Drosophila melanogaster: one gene and its partner. The protein of the gene in region 2 interacts with the protein of the main gene of each other region in a biochemical or structural test. Each region holds a gene or a part of one and is shown on either strand. Other genes may lie near its edges.

Region 1 (5,478 bases), on a different chromosome or scaffold from region 2:
CTCTTTTTTTTTTTCGGGGGCGGTGAGAGGGCGTGGCCAAGTATATGTATATACATACAGCAAACTGCTAGCCGAGGCCAATGCTCCTTGGGGCATGGGCATCCAACCACGCATGCTAATGAGCCACTTGCTCGCGCTCCCATTTCGGAAGATAGTTCTTCTCGAGACTCACTTTTGGACGGCTCTTGCCTAACGAGTGCGCCAATCGAAAGATGAAGGGTTCATGGTGCGGAGTTCAGGGTTATGGGTTTCAACTCGGGTTAACCACGTGCTACAAGCTCACCTAACTGGGGGCCAATCCTCGCCTTTATGGCCCCGCATTACAGCACAGATCCCGTTTGATGAAAAGCATTAGCAACAATTAATGTTGCAACTGCAACATCGAGCAGGCAATGCAACATTGCACACATATGTACATACATACATTAGTATGTACATACGTATGTGTGTGTGGGTGTGTGCGGATCGTGCGAAAATGCGAAAATGTACAGAGGCGGCGATCAAAGTAAACGGTCTATCAATGGGATCCCACCATCTTACAGCGAATCATTTTATTGTTATGCATAAACAATTTCTTTCTCGCAAGCATTGAACCCACGAAGCCGTGCGATTTTGAAATGGAAAACAGACAGCAGAAGACATGAAACACAGTTTTCCCAAACGAAAGGCGATTAGCATTTCAGTTGCAGTTGGCTTCTGTTTGCCATGGCATGTTTTGAATATAAATGCCCCGGTGGCTCAAAGAATCCGAGATTCCCAGCATGAATATTCAGGGGAGGATGTGCCCGGGTGTTCGGGGCTCGGTGCTTGGGGACTGGTGACTGGGGACTGGGGTTCGGCAAGCGCCGGAGGAATGTGGCCACTGGCCAAGAACTGGAACTGGAAAATAATCAATTGCAGACCCGCGATGCGAAGAGACTTTCGGCCAGCGATCCCATCCAATGCCAGACCTGTTTTTCTTCACTATCCCCTCCCCTCCCCTCCCCCTTCCATCATGATCATAAGACCAAACCCCGGACCCATCCCGATCCCATCCGATCCGCTTCGGTTTGTTTGGTTCTATTCTGGCTAAATGGGTCGAGCAATGGAACGTAACTGTTTCGCATAAGTGCATCGATGGAGCCGCATTAAAACGGTCTCACATGGACGATGGCATCGCCGGGCAGGGTGCGGAAGAAGTGGACACAATCTCAAGACGCCATCTGCCCGCTGACGTGACCAGAGGTGATCCAGCTCCAGCTACAGTTCTAGCAACAGCTCCAGCTCTTATCGCACTGATTTCCTTATCGATTCGGTGATAGTAGGGGAAATACAGTAGAAGCTGCCATAAAGATCATTTTTCAATTTAATTAGAATATCTATCTTTTAGTCGAACGACACAATATCTTGCTTAAAAGGTTCAGAAGTGTAACAGATTACTACGTATGTATCACACGGTTCCATTGTATTTTTAGCAGTATAAATACAAGAAATATAGGTTTGTTATATAGTACCTGGTACCTGGCTTCCGCGTTAGCAGGTATTCACTGTGCCGCCACCATTCATTATCGATAAAAAAAAGGGCGGTCTGGTCCGCTCTGATTTTCACTGCAACCGCATAAAATGCGTTGCAAAAGCAAGCCAAACATAAACCAAAAACCAAAATGGAAATGAAAAGGAAAATTAGGCGTTTGTTTTGTTTGGGTCTGCTTGGCTGCCCGCCGCTCATTGCACAATTTCCCGCTGAGGAATTTTCATTTTCAGGTATTTTAGGCATTTATTCAGTAGGTGTGTCCGTAGATGTGCGAGTTGGAGTAAGTAGCCGAGTAAGTGAGTGGAGTGAGTGAGTGAGTAAGTGGCGGCCAAGAATTTACGGCTAAAAATAAGGCACGCAATGGGCCAATTGGGTGGAGTTCGCAGTCGATAAGGAACTCTCCCAGACTAAATGGTCCCCAAACAACAAGCCATTAATAAGAGGGCGGGACGCCAGGTGTTTGCTGGATGATCTAACAGGGGAAACGAAAAAAGCACAGTGAAAGAAATTCTCTGGCATGCAAACATGCATGTAAACATGGTAAACTCAGATGAATTCTTAATTTAACTAGCAAATCTGGTAAGTAGAATTCAAAGCCTGCAGCTGTGCAATAATTAAAAAAAAAAAAAAACATGGCCTTTAATTTAAATATTTCAGTCCAGAATTGCCTATTCTATATATAAGTTAATAGTTTTGTATTTCGTTTTGAAAAGAGACAACAAAAAAAAAAACGAATCCTTTTGAGTCGCAATTTCTCTCTGTGTGGGAACACTATGGCATTTCAAAGGATAGGGAACAGAGTGCTCCTGAGAACAGCAGCGAAAACAGCTGTTTCCAAAGCGTGCGCGCTCATCTCATTCTCATCGCAAAGAAATTGGCAAATATTGACAGGTGTATTTATGTGCGTGTACATTTGTATATATGTACATATGAACTTAACAAACAAGGCGAAACTCGGCGAATTTGGGAGAGCCACACGGCGATGATTTGTTTGCTCATTCGCCGTGACGTCAACGGCTCTGGGTTTTAATCGCAAATTGCTGGAATAAAACACTGTGCGCTGTGCAAATATGCAAAATAAATGAAACGAGCGAATTGAGGCAAAGAACGTACTAACTGATAGCGGGGCAAGTTCAAGATCACAACAAGCTGGATCCGTTCATGTCAATGGAGCCCAGTGTATTTATCATCTTGATTTGTGTAAATTCCACGCAGCTCTAGATTGAACCACAATTCGTGACTCATTTACTCATTTGGCCGCCCAGTGGCCACTATTGCAACCAATAACTAACATTGCGGAAAACATTTCTTAAAGGGTCTTATTGGCCATGTTGGAGATATGAAAATATCTATGCTTTGGCTTTCAGTTATTATTTGTTTCCATAATCACTGGACTGGGAACAGCAGAATGAGCGCGCTTTGTGTTTTGTCACGAATTTGGAATCGGAATTCGCGATTTCTCATTGACACTTAGCCCTGAAGAAAACGCAAAACGAAAACAATGGCAAAGGTAAACAAGAGGCACCAAAAAAGCGCCACCATGGGCGTATGCTAAGGAATGCCAAGGGGCGGAAGGCGATGCAAATACATAAGGGGAGCGCTTAGCATGAGCAATTTTCTAGCAATGCGATGAGTAAGTGCGCATTCGAGCAAGGGAATTATCTTATCAGCCAGAAAAGCCTGATAAAAAGGCAATTGCTGGAGTCAGGAAAACACAAGAGGAAGAGCAAGAGGCAATGGCAAAAGGAGGAAGCGCGCGGTGGGGAAAAAGTGAAATTTCGAATTGGTACGTCTGCAGCAAAAGCAATAGGAACAACACGACCGTCATGACAATATTTTAAGCACACACCAACACAACGGCGCAGGCCACACACCCATACACACGCGGCACAAACGAGTTTAAGTTTTAATGCGATTTATTCGCCGTAAAAAAAAAATAAAAAAAAAACACAAATACTAAAACGGGTGTCCCCCGCTTTTCGCCCCCACTTACCCGTTACACTACAGTGCGTCGGACTCCACATGTCACCCTGTATCCCGTTGATCAAGTCGCACTCTCACGCTCTCTCCCGATCCCGATCCTTTGCTGTCTCGCTCTTGCTGCGAAGGTCCTGCCTTTCGTTTCTTCTTCTTTGCCTATATTGTAATTTGGATTGTTGTTGTCGATGTGTTTTGTTTACACTAATCGTTGTGTTTGTTGCTGCTCGCACACTGTGATTTCTTCTTATTGTTCTCAGTTGCCAATTTAATCACGCGCGACACGAACGAAACGCCAGGAGAACGTAGTGTAGTCTAATGTAAAAAAAAAAAGGAAAAAGACGGAGACGCGACGCGTGATGTTGTTGTTTGAAAGGTGGCCGCTAGAGTGACCGTTTGGGGGAAACGAAATGTGCCCACTGCCAGTCGGGGAGCTGCAAAAGTGCAAGTTGCGCGGCGCGACTGCGAAGAACGGCGTATTTAGTAGAGGTGGAGAAATCGATGTTGGCGGACATCGATGTTTTCAATAAAAACAAAAAAATTAACTGCTTAACTTAAAGATTATTATTTTTTTATAATTGCTTAAATAAAAAGGCAGTACTATAACTAAACATGACAAGCTTATTGCCGTCTACGTTTTTATCCGCCCCTGGTCCAATAATTGCTCCTATAAATCAAATATACTAATTAATGCAATTCAATAGAAAAGTAATTCAATAGAAAAGTAAGCCAGTATGCATACGAGCAGGTGCACGCATGCATACATGCATAAATATACGTGTCGTCTTCCACGACGCCAGCCAAGACCACCAGCAAGTCACTGAAAATTTGCAATATGCTATTAATAAATGGAAATTGGAAAATTTGGAAATTTAATTTATACTCACAATTTAAACACTTTTAACCTACGATGCGCAGTAAAGATGGAAAAACATCGATGATTCTTTGAAAAACATCGATGTTTGTGATTTTTCGAAAACATCGATGACATCGATGTTGGCATCCACCTCTAGCATTTCGACCCCAGCCCAGCCTGGTCGCACTAACCGATTACAGCTGTGGCGTCCTTGTTAATGCAACGCTTTTTCGTTTTTCGCCGTTATAATTATTATAATTAATATTCGCATTCGATATGGAGCCAATGAATCTGGGCAGCCCGGTCAACAGTCCTGGCTCCAACCAGACCCAGTATCTGCCACCTTTTCTGCTCGGCGATCCGCAAGGTATAACGCCGCACAAGAACACGCTGTCCCCGAAAACCGGGCGCTCTAATATAAGTTTCGGTAAGTAGCCGGCATCAAGCAGCTCGTACGCATTGGCTATATGAACACATGCCCCGCAGCCACCTCGCCCGGCGGCAGCAGTCCGCACGAGCTCAACCGCTCCGCTCTGAGCACACGCACTCTGTTCGCCGCCCAAGGAGGCGCCCACACGGCTGTGGGCGCCAACAGCTCAACGACCGCGCACGGCCAGACGCACAGCCACCACCAGACGGGACCGCCCACCCAGGGACTCTTCGACTCGCTGCGCGAACAGTCCGTCACCCCGAAGAAGAAGAACCATCTTGGCATGCTGCAGTTGCAGTCACCGAACCAGAGCTACCAGAGCAGCTATCACACGAATGACTCGTTCGCACCCGGGGCGCCCAATGCCATCAATGCCTCGATGCGAGCACTGTGCTCGCCACTTGGAGCCACTGCCTCGCCAGCTGGAGGCCTGGGCACATCCGTGACGACGGGCGGCAACTCGCGCCTATCCGACTTTTGGGTTACCATCTTCGGGTTCCCGCCGGGGGCCGGCTCCATGGTGCTGCAGCACTTCACCGTCTGCGGCACCATTGTGGACGTGGTGCATGCCCCGCAGAACGGCAACTGGATGTATGTGCGCTACTCCTCGCGCATCGAGAGCGACAAGGCGCTGAACTACAACGAAAAAATCATCGCCGGCAATGTGATGGTGGGCGTGTCGCGCTGCACGGATAGGTCGGT
Region 2 (9,555 bases):
TATATATATATATACGTATATATATGTACCGTTGTTTTGTTTTGTATTCTTTTTGTTTCTTGTATTTAGCAACTACAAATACTTTTCTATATTATTAATATGTTTCTTTGTTGCGCAAGGTAAGAGATGATGAAGAAAATTGTTTGCGATTGCGATGGAGAACTCAAAACGAAAGGCGAAAAACAGAAATCCACCAAATTCCCGTTCGATTGTTCGGTTTCGTTTCATGTGATTTGACCATGCATGGGTGTGTGAGTGTGAATATGAGTGCGAGTGTGAGAGAGCAAGGAAACGCTAAGAGAAAACAAACGGCTCGTATGCGTAATATGGGTGTCTGTGTGGGTGGTGGGTGTGTGTTAGTCTGCGCGTGTGTGTGTGTGTCTGTGAGGGTGTGTCGGTGTTATTGAACAGTACACTTACATACATACAAATTTAAGCTTAAGAATTCGTTTTGAATTTCGCTTAACTAACATTCCTTTTTCTCATTTAATATAGTTTTTAGCTTTTTGCGTCTTTCATTCTGTTTGCTCATTTCGTTTCGTTTACTCCATTTACGTTTTATTCATGTATTAAATTTAAATTAATTGCTGTATTTTTTCCTTACATTTTCGACTTTATGTTTTACTTTTACGTTTGCGCTTATTAAATCGTTTTTCATTTTTATTACCTCGTTCTCACGTTTATTATTGGCTTAAAATTAAAGTTGTATTTTACGTGTTGCTGTCGTATTTAAAGTTTGTTTTAAAAATTAATGCATGCCAACTCGATGAAATTTGCTTTGTGATTTACTCTCGTGTGATTGTTTCTCAATTTTCGTTTAGTGTTTCGACTTTCGTTCTTTTTCTGCTTGTGCTTTAATGTGTTTTGTGGTTTAAATGAATTTTATTTGTTTCGTTTTTGCTTCTCATAATTAAATATAATATTTATTCAAATATAATAAAATGCTTGGTTTCTCGAATGCAAAAAATTCAAATGTAGTAGACTTGATGTTGCAGTTTTCTAACGTTAAGGAGCCAAATTGCGAAGCGACGCCAACTTAATAGTACCGCGAATTTTTTATGTTGCGATTCGATTCTGGGCCGCAGCAACAGCCGCGCCACGCCCACCAGGCCGCCCAATTTTCAAACATTTTGCTTGGATAGTTGTTTTTTTTTTCTGTTTTTGTGCTGTTGTTTTCCATGCTGTTTATTGTGGATGACAATTTGTGTTCCTGCTGCTTTGCTTGCTGTTATCATGTTGCAAATATGTTGATACACATACGGGTGCTGCTGTTGTGGTGATCGACTGCTATGGTTGTTGTTGCCGCATTGGTTCCATGTTGTTGTTCTTGAAGTTGTTGTCGTGTTGTTGTTGATTTTGTTGTTGTTGTTGTATGCATATATATTATATGGTATTATATTTACTTTAGAAGGTATATAATGTGTTTTAAATGGAAGGGCGGGGGTTTACTTAAATTACGACACGTCCTGATCCTCAACATCCTGGATTTGCTCTTTGGGCTCGCCATCACCTGCGTTGGGGTCTACTTCTTAGTATAATATTTAGAACTTAATAACGGAGCCGAACAAGTGGATGTGATATTACAACTTACCTTCTGCCTGCATATCGGACGTCCATAATGTGAGGTTGTCGCGCAGCAGCTGCATGATGAGTGTCGAGTCTTTGTAGCTCTCTTCGCTCAGTGTATCCAACTCGGCAATGGCATCATCGAAAGCGGCTTTCGCCAAGCGGCAAGCGCGGTCCGGCGAGTTGAGAATCTCATAGTAGAACACCTGCAAGGATTTTAAAATATATATATAGAAAACATATGACGACATCGTGTCTCTTCACAATCACTCACCGAGAAGTTCAATGCCAAGCCCAAACGGATGGGGTGTGTTGGTGGCAGATCGTTCATGGCAATATCGCTGGCCGCCTTGTAGGCAATCAGCGAGTTCTCTGCCGCATCCTTGCGGTCGGAGCCGGTGGCGAATTCGGCCAGGTAGCGATGGTAGTCGCCCTTCATCTTATAGTAGAATACTTTGCTTTCGCCGGATGTGGCGCATGGAATGAGATGCTTCTCGAGCACGTTCAGTATATCCGAGCAGATGTCGCGCAGCTCCTTCTCCACCTGTCCGCGGTAGGTTTTGATCATCTCCAATTTCTCCTCGGCCCCCTTGTTCTCCTCCTTCTGTTCGATCGAGGTGATGATGCGCCACGAGGCACGGCGTGCTCCAATCACATTCTTGTACGCCACCGACAGCAGATTTCGCTCCTCGACGGTCAGCTCTACGTCCATGGAGGCGACCTTCTTCATGGCCTCCACCATTTCTGTAAAGAGGACATAACAAATGAAAGGTGTGGTCTTTAGTATATAAGAGTAAATGTTTACAATAATCAAGTGTAACATCTCAAACCAAATTTAAGGGATTGCCCATTAACTAACGATTAGTTTAATCATTAGTTCGCATATATGTATATTCATTCTGCAATGCCTAAGGAAAATATACATCATTAAACAAATACTTCATTTGAGTGAGTAAGAAGTAATGTTTATGATGTAGTTTAAACAATGCTATCGGACGCTATTTTATCAACAATTTCGTAGAATACAAATGTTTGTTTGATTGTTCATATAATTTTTGAATTGCTTTCATATATTTCATGTTAAGATTAAAAATAAAAACCAAACATTTCAATTGGAAAGCCAACAAGATACATACATTATATACATTTTGCGTAGATAAATTTATCCAAGGTATGGAAGGCTTGTTATCTGGACTTTCCTCCCGCTTGTCCTTGTCCCCTCGCGACAGCCTAGACTACCTATTTTCCATTTCTTATCGCCGACACGCCCAATCCGCGATGATATATAAGTTATGCAGATATATTTATGCATAAGGTGGCGTTGCGTCTACGCCTGATTTAGCTGGTTCTGTCATACCAATACCAATACCAATACCAATACGGGGCCATCCAATCAGCCGGTGATAAGGGCTTCCGCCACATTGTTGCACCCAATCCTATCGTCCCCATCGGGGGCATCTCTATCTGCGTCTGCATCACCATCTAAAACTGCGTCATGAATCACATGTTCGGAACTCAACACGGAAGCAAACAAGGAGCTCGTTTATCAAATTAAAGTGAGTAGGTTAAGAGCTGATATCATTTGGCCATTTCATTTCCTTTTTCGAGTCAGTCAATTGAAGTCTAAATATATTTCGAAGTTCATTTAAATGCTTTTCGGGCATATGATTAGTATTTGGAATTATGCAAGATTAGTTTTTGATATCTGACCAAAGGAAATGTAAGATATTTCCGAACCAAATCATCTAAATTATCATTGCAGTGCTGCCTGTCTGGGTAAAGCCAGTTGCAGGCTAACTATCTCGGGCATATCTGGTGGCTGATAACAATACAGAGCTAGACTACACTACTATTCAAAATATTGTAATTGTAGCGCGTTTGCTGACTTGCACTGTCTGCCCTCTCTCGCTCGCACCCGCTGCCCGTCAGCTGCTGACGTATTTCGCACACCAACACCCCCATACATACACACACACTAGCACTCACACACAAAGACATCGGGACATTTGCCGACTGTCTGCTTATTAGTGCGATTTTTGTTGTAGCACGTATTTGTGAAAAATTGCCAATAAAGTTGCATGATTCACGAATATTTGTGGCTGTGATTGAACTTCAAACATTGTTGTTCGCATTGGCGGGCTGTTTGAAACCAATGTGGATGATGATGTGCACACGCATTTTACAACGCTTGCAAGCTATGCTGAGTTACGCATAAAAAATGAACTTGAGAGTGGGTAGGGAGGGGGAAGGGGAGGGGGAGCGCAGTTGGGTGGTGAAGGGTGGCTGGGATCCTTGCAACTTTAAAAGTATACAGCACATGTTGCTTAGTAGTAAGTAATCCACAACCAATTATGAGACATGCGCGTCAGACCAGTCACTAAATCATGTACATATAGCAAGGCGAAAATCAATAAACGCGTCCCAAAAATAAAGAGCCAAGTCCCGCGGGCATGATAAATCATTTGCGGAACCACGAAGTGGTAAAAAGAAATGTATGGAAACTTCTCGAATCATATGAACTTTCAGTAGAAAGTGCAAAGTTCACGAAAGTCTAGCAAATTTGGCGAAAATAGTATGGAATAGATTCTAAGTAGATTCGTGAGTAGTTGAACTACATTTGAAAAGTATTCATCTTTTTTATTATAAAAAATGATTAATCTTTTTCATAAACAAGTTGATTGCAAAGATGAGCGTGGTCATCTCAATTGTGTTGTTTTTCCAAGAAATAAGTATTGGAATTTGATAAACTAGCGACAACCCTGCAAAGGCAATCCACCACCACCCAAAAGTAAAAAGAAGTCACGCGAGCTGGAATGAAATATTGGGACGAAATAGGGAGCAAAAGGAATGGGCAGGATTTTCCACCCCCTCCTACCAACACGCCCCCAGAGATCCACCCCTCCCTTATGAGACGCCTGTGGGTGTGTCTTGCGCTCGTGTGGGTATGAGTGCGCGTGGTTTTGTGTGTGTGTGTATGTGTGTGTGTGTGAGTCGCATAAGGGCGCAGCAGCTGAAAAAACATGCGCACATACCGTTACAGCGGGCAGAGAATGTGTAATTAGACAAAGGAAGCAGCAACAACAGCCCCTAAAATGGTGCAATTTGAGCAAAAAGCGAGCAACAAACAAAACACACCTAACACCACCGCCACCCACCGCCCATCAATCAACCGTATGTATGCTACTTTTTCCACTCATTTTTTTTTTGTCTGCCTTTTGCGCATATTGACGACATTGACGAGAACGAACATCAACGGAAAAAGCAGCGCGCGACCTCGAAAAAAATGTAGATAGAACGCAGAGAGCGCAAGATGGAAAGAGCATGGAGCGGGGGATGGTGGGCGCAGGGGGCAGCACCTGAGAAAGCACACTTAAAGGCTGACGTTAATGTGTGCAGAAAAGGGGAGCAGGGGTTTGAAGAGGAGATGAGATCAGGGGCGGAGAGGGCGAGGCAAGTTCAGATTGGGGGCGCAGACATTGCCGGCTGGCGGCTTTGCCGCTCCGCTTCGCTCTCCGCCGCGCTCTTTCTCTCTCTTCGCGCGCAATGGTATTGGTGCTCCAGCATGAGCTCCACCGCAAAATGTCCGAGTGTGACAAGGCCAACGCCAAGTGCTGCACACCAACGCACACCGATGGGCGAAAATAAGAAGACAAACATGTGATACAGACACAAATATCCCCACCAGTGGTGTATGTATGCATGTATGCCCTGTTTGTGTGTGCTAATAGTTGATTGACTTCTTTGCCGCCGCCACCGCCCGTTAATGTTGTCAGTTTTGCAGGCAATTAGGTGCAGAGTACCGTTTGCAATTATTGTTGCTATAGTCGCTGCCCAAGTACAGCAGCAGGAAGGAACGGCAGACAGAGGAATCGCCAAATGTTTGTTAACTTTTTACAGCCACTGTGCAGCGTCGCCGACACTTCGACACACTAGCCATCTCGTTTTGGCGCACGCAGCGTTTATGGCAATTGGTTAAGCGCGCGCTTTTTGCAAATGCCGAATTTGCCGTCCCCCTCCCACTGCGACTTTCTTTGCATTTTGAGCTGGCTTTTTAATTAATTGGAGTATTTTTAATTAAATATAAGCAAAGGCTACAGAAGAAGCAACAATAAAAACCGCCCGGCGGACACTCATCGGCACACGCACACCTCCGTACAAACACACACACACACGCATGCATACATGCGCATAAGCATGAGTAATGCGAGAGTAACAGAAGAAGCACAGAAAAATTTTATATTTCCTTTTTTCGCATTATCAGATAGGGTTGCCAAGTGGCCGCATAACTGCTTGCAACTAGCCGCAACTAATTTGCATAAATAAAGAATTAAGCAATAGGCAGAAAGTGAGAGAGGGAGACAGCCGGCGACACAATCGATTCATTCATCGATTTTTCGCAGCAACGGCATGGTGACGACGCCGCTGCTGCGCATGAAAAGCACATTTCGTGGAAAAAAAGGGGGAGGGGGTCTGAAAGAGAGGACTGCACCTACCCCTGCCCCACAATCATTGATTTTGGGTGTGGAATAAGTGTATTTAAGAAACTAGAATCCCCAAAAAATGTGTCGTTTCTAGAAAGTTACGCCTTGACAACTACTAAGAAAGAAAAAAAAAGAACGCGAACTGGAATCAACTGCAAACAGCCCTTAGCAACCAAGGAAGAAAATAAAATGCTAGCTGCCGCGCAGCCCTTGCTCGCAACGCCAAATACACAAAATTTTCCCCTTCTAAACTAATACTATATAGTTCCAAAAAAGAAAGAGCGGAGCAAACTATTTGCTGTAAATTATAATACGCAATTCCGTTTCTTTCTCTTTTTGTGCAAAACCACGCGAATTTTTGCCGGTAAAAATCAGGTTTTACACTCTATTCATCTCTTTTCGTTCTTCCGACGCTCTGCTTCTTCTTCGGCTTCTTCCTCTTCTTACTGTTTCCTCCATCTCCCGTTCTTTTCGCAAGAAATACTACTCATCGCGACGCTGCGTCGCTTCGAATGCAGCTACAGCGATGAAAATTGAAAATTTCCATCGTTTTCTCTGGAAGAAAACCTTTTAATTGGCACATTCGGACGAAAAGCGGAGCTCTAGACTTTTTCAACGACCACGCGACGACGCAATGGATCGGGAAGACAAAAAAAAATCCCAGGCGACCCCTCCCCAAAAACGTTGGCGCTCCTCAGTCGAGAAAATTTTTTCCCTACTCTACTAGCATTTGTCTACCGTTTTCTACCATTTTTGCTACCATTTTTTTTCGGAATCACTACTCACCGTCGTAGCGCTCGGCCTGTTCGGCCAGCTTTGCCTTGTACACATTGTTCTCGCGCTCAGTCATTGTGTTGAAGCCTTTTCGGTAAAATTAATCCACAGAAAAAATTATTTAAATGCTCCCGGTACGTGCGGCGTCGATTTTGCTTGCTGCCTGTGGTTCGTCGCCTTCTTTTTTCTCTACTTCTCGAGCGGTGTGACCGTATCGGGCGGCGGTTGAAACACTAAAATTGATGGGCGATGGCCTAATGACGGACTTAAAAACGCATCACGCGTTCCGTGCGCATGCGCAAGCGATGGTGGTAAAATCGGAAAAATTTCTTTTTAAAATGGTATTTCTATCTGGATATTACTTGTGAAAATCCGTTTGTGTGAAGCTTTTATTCGGAAGTTTTAAAATGTTATAGTAAATTGACACATTTAAAAAAGCTATAGCTATAAATATGTTGTATTAAATGAACACATGAAGCAATGTCGTTAGCAGGGACTTCCACCTTTTCTGTGCAATTCAATTTGTCATTAGTCATGACATAACCCACATGCACTGCAGACTATCGATACTTATGATACTTTCGATTAGAGTATAAATTTTAAATTTTAAAATGTGACCGTTTTTTATTTTAAATAAAAGTGTTTAAAAAACAGTTAATATTTTTATGGTTTAATTTAATCCTTCTAAGTTAAAAAAATAAGCTACTAAATGCTCTTATTTAATTTCGAAGTCCGGAAGTGGTTATTTTGGCGTCCTTTGGTCACACTAGCTTTAATGTTGCAAAAAAGTTGGGGAACAACGACATTTGATATGGGAAATATGTTTAGAAACTAAACCACCAGGTCTTGCAGCAGAAACCAGAATGACTCTCAACCTGGGCGGCTGGATCCACAGCTTCACAGTGACGGACACCCAGGAGCACAAGGGCGGGTACACAATATACAAAATCACCTCGATTGTAAGTCGTTTTTTTTGGGGGCAGATGAACTGTTCCAAATAGTAAACCTCACCCACTTTTAGGTCTTCCCAAGGTCGGTACCTCAAGCTCTGACCTGCCTGGTGGTGTGGAAACGGTTCCACGATGTCAAGCGGCTGCATCGCGAGCTTAGCCGGCGCCACAAGAGTCTCCAACTACCCGGCAAGTTGCCAGTGCCCACAGATAGCACATATTTCAAGAGATTCGATGCGGCAGTCATCCAACGGCGTAAGGAGTACATCCTGCAATTATTAGACTTTGCAGCGCAGCATCCGGCGCTGTACAAGTGCTCAACCTTCACACAGTTCTTCCAGGAGACACCCTCGCCAAACGGATCGCCACTTAAGAAGCTATATGTGGAGCGATCCCTGCGGCTGCAGACGGAAGACAATGGCTGCGGAAGTGGCGGTTCGGAAACAGGAACTTGCGCTGGTGCCATAGCCGACATTTGCGATAAACTAGACTTGCCCTATGACCCACACGACGCGGGGGGCATCACGCCTCTAGATCCGCGCTGTGATAAGGAGCAAACGAACAACGAATCCCAGGCCAAAGAAACTGAAATCGAATTAGAAACGAAACAGGAGCCCAAGACAGACGTAGCGCTGACCAAGAGGGATTATCTCCGCCTTCTGACGCCCATGGCTTCCATAGAAAGCGACGACAGCGACTACATATATGAGGCGGCTCTAGAGTTCAGTCATGCCGTCCAAGCGGAGGTTAACCTGGAGTATGCCGAAGCCCACGAGAGGTACAAGCATGGTGTGGACCTGCTGCTCAATGGGGCCAAGCAGGATAGCAGTGAGGAGCGTAGATTTATAGCCAAGGCGAAGATAGCCAAATACTTGGCGCGGGCTGAGGAGATTCACGCCAATTTCCTGGCCAACGATTGTCCGACGAAGAAGCTGCAGTTCCAGCTCTCGCTGGACACGACAGACGGCGGTAGCGTGAGCCATTTGGAGTGCCCCTGGAATCAGTTGGCACGCTACAAGGTGCTGCAGATTCTCCAGGACCGTGTGATGCAGGTGCAGTGTGTGACGAAATCCCAGCAGCCGGCTGCCATTATGAAGGGCGTCGAGAAGCCGGCCAGTCACTCGCTGACCCAGAGCATCTTTCTGCCCCAGCAGGTGCCTTACATGGTCCAACTGCTGGCCTACTTTCAGTCGGAGCAGAAGATTTTTCTGCTACTGCGGCAGGCGGAGGGCGGCATGTTGTACGATTACCTGCAGAGCTACACGCCCACGAGTAGTAAGAGTGTCAATTATGGAGAGCTTTTTCCCTCGGACCAGGAGCCGGAGGAGAAGGAGGCAGAGGAGCCACCTCTGACTTCGGACAGCGATGTCAGCGATTTGGTTCGCAGCTCCCAGCAGCTTTTAAAGTCCGTAACAAACACGCTGAGCAATTTGCAAGCGGGAGTCGTTACACCCAAAAGAAATAAAAAGGTGGATCAAAATCGCATCCGAAGTAAACCCATTCCGGAGCAGTGCCTGCGTCAGTGGGCTTGCGAACTGGCCATCGCCATACACAGTCTGCACGGCAAGGGCGTTATTCTGCGCGATCTGCACATGGGCAACATTTTACTGGGCGCCAAGGGACAGCTGCTCCTGACGTATTTCTATCAGAACGAGGGTCTAACCTCGGACGACAACTATGTGCACAAGGCACTGAACTTGGAGGCAGTGGCTAATCACTTTGTGGCACCAGAAAGACCGCTCACTTTTCGCTCGGACTGGTGGAGCTACGGCGTGGTGCTCTAT

What was found. Proteins that work in one complex are often made in the same cells at the same time.
Region 1: the proteins of 14-3-3epsilon (region 2) and Rip11 interact in far-western blotting, tested with the Drosophila melanogaster proteins (one study listed by BioGRID).

What each region holds. Positions count from the first base shown.
Region 1 is NC_004354.4:18,643,684-18,649,161, forward strand, and holds the start of Rip11 (Rab11 interacting protein), read right to left. Parts: upstream 3,885-5,478; 5' UTR 3,538-3,884; coding exon 3,507-3,537; intron 1-3,506. Other genes in the region: Nup35 (nucleoporin 35kDa), read left to right, coding at 4,623-4,773, 4,833-5,478.
Region 2 is NT_033777.3:18,240,188-18,249,742, reverse strand, and holds 14-3-3epsilon (14-3-3epsilon), read right to left. Parts: upstream 7,057-9,555; 5' UTR 6,898-7,056; coding exon 6,834-6,897; intron 2,311-6,833; coding exon 1,841-2,310; intron 1,773-1,840; coding exon 1,592-1,772; intron 1,529-1,591; coding exon 1,455-1,528; 3' UTR 1,164-1,454; downstream 1-1,163. Other genes in the region: CG7156 (uncharacterized protein), read left to right, coding at 7,685-7,780, 7,843-9,555. UniProt on the Drosophila melanogaster protein: Positively regulates Ras-mediated pathways. Acts downstream or parallel to Raf, but upstream of nuclear factors in Ras signaling. Three mutants have been isolated, that suppress the rough eye phenotype caused by mutated Ras1 (sev-Ras1 v12).